Xenopus tropicalis: one gene and its partner. The protein of the gene in region 1 interacts with the protein of each later gene in a biochemical or structural test. Links are inferred from orthologs where the notes say so. Each region holds a gene or a part of one and is shown on either strand. Other genes may lie near its edges.

Region 1 (4,299 bases):
ATCTTCTGTTTTCTAATAACATCTGTACAATCCGTAAATGTTCTGTGCAGGACATACTGAAATAAGCATTTCCACACTACTGCACACAATTACCTAACCATTCACAACAGCTTGTATTGAAGTTGTGTAACTTGATAAGGAATTAAATTACTGACATGACATGTCACAATTATAAAGCTGGTAACACTATTTGTTCTCAGTTTTGGTCCAGGAATATAAGGTAGAAAACATTTTTTGTCTGTAATTAGACATGTATAATTCCAGTCAATTGAAATTCTGACTGGGTGGTCAACACAATGTAGTTGAAGGCACTTATAGATAAGAGAAAAGAGATGTTTTAAAAATATTTGTTGCATTGTCTGGGCAGGAAAGGTAGCTCTTTTTTTTTTTGTAAAATCATTTAAACAGGTTTATTGTTTACTGCTATTTGCAAAGGTAAGGGATATGTAAAATGTTCTCAAGGGATCGGTTTTATTAAATATCAAACAAAAAAGTTAACACTGTAAGCCATGGCAGTCCAGTCAAATTTGACTAATATAATCACATTAATAAAGCCAGAAGCCAACTATTATAGGAACGATGATTCATAATTTCCAGTATCCTGCAATTTCAGATTAAGGCAGAAAACTTGTAAATGTACTTACCATATGTGAAACAGAGTGATTTTGTACATTTTGTTAAGTAACATGGAGTGCCCTCCTAGAATGCACTTACATGTGCAGTGAGCTCTGCTGCCAGTTGGAGTTAGGCTGATGCCACACCAGGCGTAGGGCTGATTTTTTCGGCAAGCGGAAAAAATCAGCCCTACGCCTGGTGTGGCATCAGCCTTAGTCTCTACAGAATGACAGTTATCAATGTCTCACAGCTGAAACATCTGAGGCTTAAGACTAATGCCACACGAGGCGTAGGGCGGATATTTTCGGCAAGCGGAAAAGCGCTTGCTGAAAATTCCGCCCTACGCCTCCTACATGTGCCTGCACCCGAATGAATGAGATACGCTCGGGTGCAGGCACATGTAGCCGATATGCGCATAAAAACACGAGACTTTGCATTATATATATATGGGCTACATGTGCCTGCACCCGAGCGTATCTCATTCATTCGGGTGCAGGCACATGTAGGAGGCATAGGGCGGAATTTTCAGCAAGCTCTTTTCCGCTTTCCGAAAATATCCGCCCTACGCCTCGTCTGGCATTAGCCTTACATTTATTACCATACCTGCAAAACAATGGTTCCAAATGCATGCTTCAGGATATTAACCACTTCTGCATGTGACAGCCCATCCACTGGTTGCTGGTTAATGCTGACAAGCCGATCCCCAACCTATACCCCACAAGCCCATGATAAAACATACAGGTCAGGATTAATTTCAAAAGATGGTTATTAAATATAATGCAGTACTGAATATTTTCTTTACTTTGCAATTTTGAGAATAGAAAATATTGCAAGATTAAGTAAGTACAAATTGAGAATTAACAGAATTTTGTTAAATGACAAATAAAAGGGCAGATTGGCACAATTCACTACTATAAACTTTGCCTCTACAACAAGCTGCTTAAATGTACAAGCAAAAAACGTCCTTACAGTAATATCTTCTATGGAAACAGCATAATATATAGATTGTAAGCTCTAAGGGGCAGGGACCTCCATTCTCTTGTGTCTTTGACTCTTAACTTATTGCAACTATATCTTTTATTTATTGTTAAACTTTATCTAATTTATTATTATCTTAATAACCCCGTTTGTATTAATGTATTCTACTTTACAGCGCTGCGTACAGTAGCGCTTTATAAATAAAGATATACATACATAATTCTAACATAGGCACTTGGTTTTTATAGGTCATTGCCATGTTTACCAATAAAACAAAGTATGATGAGAATGGGGCATAATTTGGTTTTCCTTCATTATGGTTAAAGGTCAATGAGAGAAGTAAAACATGTAGAACCATCTCACCATAATGTGCTTTTATTAAGACAAAATATAATTTGCTTATGCGTCATTACTGTTCGTAAAAGTCACATGGTGATAAAAACAGATACTTACTTTTAATTTGTGTGTCCGTGCTGCTACACCACTAGCTTGGATCATAGCAATGAAAACTGGGATATCTCCCAATGGGCTGCCTTTCCCTCCTGCGATACTGATCCCAAGAGCATCATAAGGGCCCTAACAAAGTGTGAAAATGGAAAGGTATTAAGTCATTGTATATTTCCCTCCAACTCTTATTATAGCAAGTGTAGTTTTTCTTTACTTACTCTATTAATTTCTACAGTCCGTGGCTCCAAGTCTGTGCCTGTATTTAAAGGGGATAGATATCTTAAATACTTATTCATTGAAAAAGTAAAAGTGAAGTGCTAAATTTAAAGGTAAAGCAAAAATAAAAAAACAAAACAAAACAAAGCACTACAATAGAAAGACAAATACAATAGGTGACCCCTGAAAGGGGCTGTCTCTAGATATTTGCTCTGAAGACATATTTCTCCTTCCCACAAGTTATCTGGATTACAGCCATATATAATACTATATTATTCTCTTCTGCAACACTGCCATGCTGTATATCACACAAGTAAATAGAGAACAACACATTAAAAAGGAAAACAAATGAAGGTGAGACATCACCCTGGTTCAGTAACTGCATTTCCATGTAGTCTTGACTGCAGTTCAGTTCAGAATACTGGTACTCAGAGTAAGGAATGTATTTGCTTATACTGGCTCCACCATGTATTTGTTTATTTAATTGTCCATTAGCAAAATGGTTGTAAAAATAAAATGAAATGGTAACAAAATATTAGGAAAGACAAACAAGCAATGGTCGTATGGTCCTACTAATCAATCACAGTACTGCGTACACAAATTTATTTCAGACACTCTGAATGCTAAACCTTTAGAATAGTAGTTAGGGCACAGCGAGCACAGAGAGACAGTAAGACTGAATGACCATTTACTGACTCAAAAATTATACCCAAGACTTTCTGATGATTTTAAAGTATATCTGTAGTATTCTTTGTCTGCTTTATCTTTTCAGAACCATTCCTTCTCTCTTTAATGCCACATATGTCACAGGCACAATAACTCCAAGCCACTGTAAAAAGGTAATAGAATTGTAGTACTGCACAGTATTTACCAGAATGCCTTTGTGATGAGTCTGCAGAGGATTTCTTGGAGCTAGCATAGTCTTGCATGCTGGAAATAACTGGAGTTAATGATGGAGGAAGAACACCATGGGAACTCATTTGGTTGATCTAGAGTGCAATTCAGTAATATGTTCTTCAGTTTAAATGGTACAAACAGACATTACATCCATGCATTACTTAAGAGGCAATAAAAATATTTTTTATATTTCTTTAGGTGAAATTTCCCCAAGTGGCTGCAAGTTACATTTATACCACAAATGGATACACATTTTGAATTAACCCGTAAACTAGCATATAATATAATTTATAACACAACAAATAATACTAGTTGTTAAAATAAAATCTGGCTAGGTTAATGAGAATAAATACACATTATTTCCTTCTACTAACACAATTATTGTGTTTATTATAGGCTTGCATATTATCTGACCTACATCTTGCTTTTTCTCACTTACTCTTTGTATGTCTCTAGAAATCTAGAACAGTTACTTGCAAAAAGTTTTAAACAATGAACAACCAGATTATTTAGGCTTGTTAGCAGTGTATCCTCTGGCTTCTCTGCATTACAAGTCTCTATTAATATTATGTTTTTAGCTATTTTAGGAATCTTTGAAAGTGCCTATTATTTTAATATCTGCCTTTTGCCTTTCTTTGGTCTGAAATACTTAGTGTTCTAGTTCAGAAACAGTGAAAGAGCTATAGACTGGGAAACTCAAGAATGAAAAGTACTGCTACAAATAAATACCCATTTTTCAAACAAGGCTAGTTGCTCTACAATTAGTTGTTACACTATTTTGGGCCAATATACAGCCCAAAAAGCCAATACAGTCAACGGGTCTTCTGTGTGGATTCTTATATTGAGTGAAAAAAAAATGACTTTTAGATCTAATAAAGAATTACCTGTTACTTACAATACAGATACAGTTGTACGGTTTCACAGGTTATACAATAAAGCACTTAAATAAATATACAGAAACTACATTGCTGCTTTTGTACTATATTGTACGCTGCCATAAAAGGCTCACAAAATAACAGAACTACCTTTTTTTTACACTGTTAACCTGATACTGTATTCTGGTCAGACATTCTTTAAATTACCTGGGGAATATGGTGAACATTCCATTGATATATAGTATTGCAGTATCTGACTCCAGATTATGAA
Region 2 (4,299 bases), on another chromosome or scaffold:
TAACTAACAGTCCTGCAACAGGTCGGGTACTTGTGGGTTACCCTCAAGGAAAGTGAGTGCCCTGTGGGTTGCGGGTACGATTTTCAGATGTGGGTTGTGGATCTTATCCATATTTCTTATATTATATATTCTACTCCATTAAACATTTTTTTCTACCCCTGCCCACTTCTGATGTCACTTCTGGTTTGCAGCAACAGCTCTTCCTGTTAATGGTGGTCAGCGGGTTGTGGATCGAGGTGCGGATATGGCAGTTGTGGGTTGGGTATTAGGTCAAAGCAAGTAAAAATGTGGGTCCAGGTTGTTGGCCATGGGTCCAGGTTATAGATAGGATATTTACTAGTCTTACTAGAAGGTATCACAGTCTAAGGGCATCGTCCCTTGTACATACCCCCCAAGCTTACAACCCCTGCTGTTAAAGGGATGCAGTCATGGCATGTTGCGCCTGGGGGGGGCTGTTTTGTAAGATTAAACCATTTATAACAGCCTGTGCCAGGTTGTATTTTAATTATTTAATTTAATTAAAGCTTTGTGCCATTCTACCAAGCCTGATGCAGAACATATAAGGCCCCACCCCACATCATTGCCTTGTCCCTTCTCTGAGCATCTGGCAGCTAAACTGTGTAATAGGCCTGTAGCACAAATGCCTTGTAACTACATGGAAAGAAATGTGTTGGCTTATATCTTAAAATGTCACTTAGTGCTAGAGCTGAGCAGAGAAGCCTCAGGAGACCTTCTGCTTCAGTAAGGCAAGCTTTCGATATTCTGCTTGGTCTCCACTCAGACAAAACAGCAGGGGGCACTCTTATTATGTATGTAGGTATATGTGCCCTTTAGCTTGAATGCATAAAACATTCTTACACTTTTTAAATGTTTTTCCTGTATGTGAGTGGTGTTGCCATGGTAATAAGAAGCATAAAAGTTATAGGACTTGCCAAATTAGCCACCCTATATTGGTGCCATCCTAGGCACAGGGTTGCCCCCCTTCTTTCTCTGCTTCTGCCCCTCCATAAGCAGAGTGAATATTGTACAGCCTCCCCTTGTTATCAGTTTAAGGTAAACAAACGCTCCATGTATATTAGCCCTCAGAATCCAGCCAATCTGCTCCTTGACTGCACGGCATTCGGGAAATACTGAGCATTTCTTGCCGCCGAGTGATTTGGGATTAGCAGTGGATATGAAAGCAATGTTTGCTGAGCGCTCCATCTCTTGTTTGTGTTGCAGACGGTGGAGAACTGCGTATGCACGCTGAGAAACTTGTCCTACCGCCTGGAACTGGAAGTGCCTCAGGCTCGAATGCTGGGAATAAACGAAATGGACGGCTTCTGCAAGGAGTCCCCCAGCAAAGAGTCTGACTCCAGCTGTTGGGGGAAAAAAAAGAAAAAGAAAAAAAAGCCCCCGCAGGAAGACTTGGTTGGTATAGCGATAGAAAGAACTGCTACTGGTGCTGATAAGCATAGAATTTTGTGGGTTCCAGCCCTGCTACTAACAGGGAGCATTAGCCCCGTGTTGGAATCTGCTGGTTTTGTTGAGGCTACTCTGCCTCCCCTACAGCTGGCATGTCTCCCCTACACAAGGGCTACAGCTGGCATGTCTCCCCTACACAAGGGCTACAGCTGGCATGTCTCCCCTACACAAGGGCTACAGCTGGCATGTCTCCCCTACACAAGGGCTACAGCTGGCATGTCTCCCCTACACAAGGGCTACAGCTGGCATGTCTCCCCTACACAAGGGCTACAGCTGGCATGTCTCCCCTACACAAGGGCTACAGCTGGCATGTCTCCCCTACACAAGGGCTACAGCTGGCATGTCTCCCCTACACAAGGGCTACAGCTGGCATGTCTCCCCTACACAAGGGCTACAGCTGGCATGTCTCCCCTACACAAGGGCTACAGCTGGCATGTCTCCCCTACACAAGGGCTACACAAGTTGGAGTGATATTCCCCTCAGCAGGCGATCAGCAGAACAATGGGAAGGGAGCAAGATAGCAGCTCCCAGTAGGTATCAGAATAGCACTCAATAGTAAGAAATCCAAGTCCGGCTTGGGACTCCTCCAGTTACATGGGAGTAGGAGAAACAATAGGTTAGCTGAAAGCAGTTCTAATGTGTAGCGCTGGCTCCTTCTGAAAGCTCAGACTCAGGCACAATGCACTGAGATGGCGCCTACACACCAATATTACAGCTACAAATACATTTGTTGGGTCAAGAATAAAAATGTAAATGGTAGAGTGAATTATTTGCTATGTAAACAGTGTAATTTAGAAATATAAAGTATACCATAAAAATCATGACAGTATCCCTTTAAAATACACACTGCTGTGGGGTCTCTCCATGAAATTCGGACACACAACTGAACTGGCACATCCCCATCAGTCCATGAGAAATCCTCCTAAAAGTTCACTCATAAGGAAGCCCTGGTTGAGTCATGGTGCAGCTGCAGTCTTGCTTGAGTTTACTGGCACATTCTCTATAGACTCTAGTTGATCAATATGGAGACTGTGTCCACCAAAGCAAGCAACATGGCAGCTTCCAGTCATTTGTGTTAGTATAAATACAGAAAGAATGAATATGAGCGATTTGCCCTTGTTTAAAGGAATGCGTACAGTTTATTTAGTCTCGGTAATCCCATATATTTATACTTTACATAAACTGCCAACGGCACAGAGATATATTCCCCTAGGCTATAGCTGCTTTTTACCTAATTATCATTTTCTTACATAAAGCCACAAAGAATCTTCAGTCCAAAAGATACAACTGTAATAATGCTAATAAATAATTGTAAGTAACAGGCAGTATCTAGAAACAAGAACTCATATCTCTCCCGGTTCTACTGCCGTAACATCTTGTGAGAAGGAATATAATTTCAAGTGAGCACAATTCCCTGGGCGGCAGCCATGATATTTGCTCTATATCAGCAGCCGTGTAAGGATGCAAGCGGGTCAGCCGCTGCTTTGCACAATCCAATTTCTACAGAAAGAAGCTTTTCCCAGCTCAGGGACTAGAATATGTGTTTTTTATTTATTTAGTATTTTCAAATAGGGCAGGTCAAGCCGTCTGCTCTCTTTATGAATTATGGCTCCTGAACCGGAGTTTGCCGGGAGTTGCTCCTTTGCCCATATAAGGGCACGTGGCTACAGTGTATTAGATGCCAATGAGGTCAGTAACCCTGTAAGGGCATAAGGCTATGTAACGGTAGAGCCTGAAATATTTATATAATATTTATAAGGTAGGTGTCATCATTAATAGCACTAATGACCTCACTAAGCATTTATAAAGGGAATAATGTAGCCCCTATTGTAATCTCTGTGGATATTGGAAGTAATAGAGGAATTCCATGACGCTATAAAATTAGTACAAGTACAAAGGCCGAGAGCTTTTATACAGGTCACAGAACTCTAACGTGACCTTTTGTACCCTTATATTTTACAACGGGGGGTACAGATTTTATTATTATACAGATGTTTTAGTGAGTCATGTGACCTAAAAATCACCAAGCAACGTTTATAAGGATGTATTTTACAGTATATTCAAGGCTCTTCTGTATTATACAGGTATGGGATCCATTATCTGGAAACCCGATATCCAGAAAGCTCCGAATTACGGAAAGCCTGTCTCCCATAGACTCCATTTTAATCAAATAATTCAGATTTTTAAAATTGATTTTCTTTTTCTCTGTAATAATAAAACAGTACCTGTACTTGATCCCAACTAAGATATAATTACCCCTTATTGGGGGCAGAACAGCCCTATTGGGTTTATTTAATGGTTAAATGATTCCCTTTTCTCTGTAATAATAAAACAGTACCTGTACTTGATCCCAACTAAGATATAATTACCCCTTATTGGGGGCAGAACAGCCCTATTGGGTTTATTTAATGGTTAAATGATTCCCTTTTCTCTATAATAAAACAGTACCTGTACTTGATCCCAACTAAGATATAATTAATCCTTACTGGATTTTATAATCCGGAATACCCTTGGTCCCAAGCATTCTGGATAATGGGTCCTATACCTGTATAGTGAATTGTGCACCCCCTGTTGTAAAATATAAGGATATTAAAAGTCACCAAGTAGTTCCATGGCCATATAAAGACATGAGGCCGAAGGCAATCACTCGACTCTAGTTTACAGGATATTCATGTACTATGTAAGTACATTTTATGTATAATGTAATGTATGGCCTTTATTTAACATTTCTGAACAAGTTTACTTAATGCCCTAATGGTTGTTCATTCTCTTGTTTTTTGTTTGCCAGTGGGATGGAGTTGGTCCTATTCCTGGGCTTTCCCAGTCCCCAAAAGG

What was found. The genes of interacting proteins can lie anywhere in the genome.
Region 2: the proteins of patj (region 1) and pkp4 interact in a test that uses a peptide from one of them, tested with the Homo sapiens proteins (2 studies listed by IntAct, with this or other methods). The link is inferred for Xenopus tropicalis from reciprocal best matches to the Homo sapiens genes PATJ and PKP4.

What each region holds. Positions count from the first base shown.
Region 1 is NC_030680.2:85,651,839-85,656,137, forward strand, and holds part of patj (inaD-like protein), read right to left. Parts: intron 3,246-4,299; coding exon 3,128-3,245; intron 2,297-3,127; coding exon 2,259-2,296; intron 2,170-2,258; coding exon 2,047-2,169; intron 1,324-2,046; coding exon 1,219-1,323; intron 1-1,218.
Region 2 is NC_030685.2:73,515,465-73,519,763, reverse strand, and holds part of pkp4 (plakophilin-4), read left to right. Parts: intron 1-1,221; coding exon 1,222-1,410; intron 1,411-4,252; coding exon 4,253-4,299. UniProt on the Homo sapiens protein: Plays a role as a regulator of Rho activity during cytokinesis. May play a role in junctional plaques.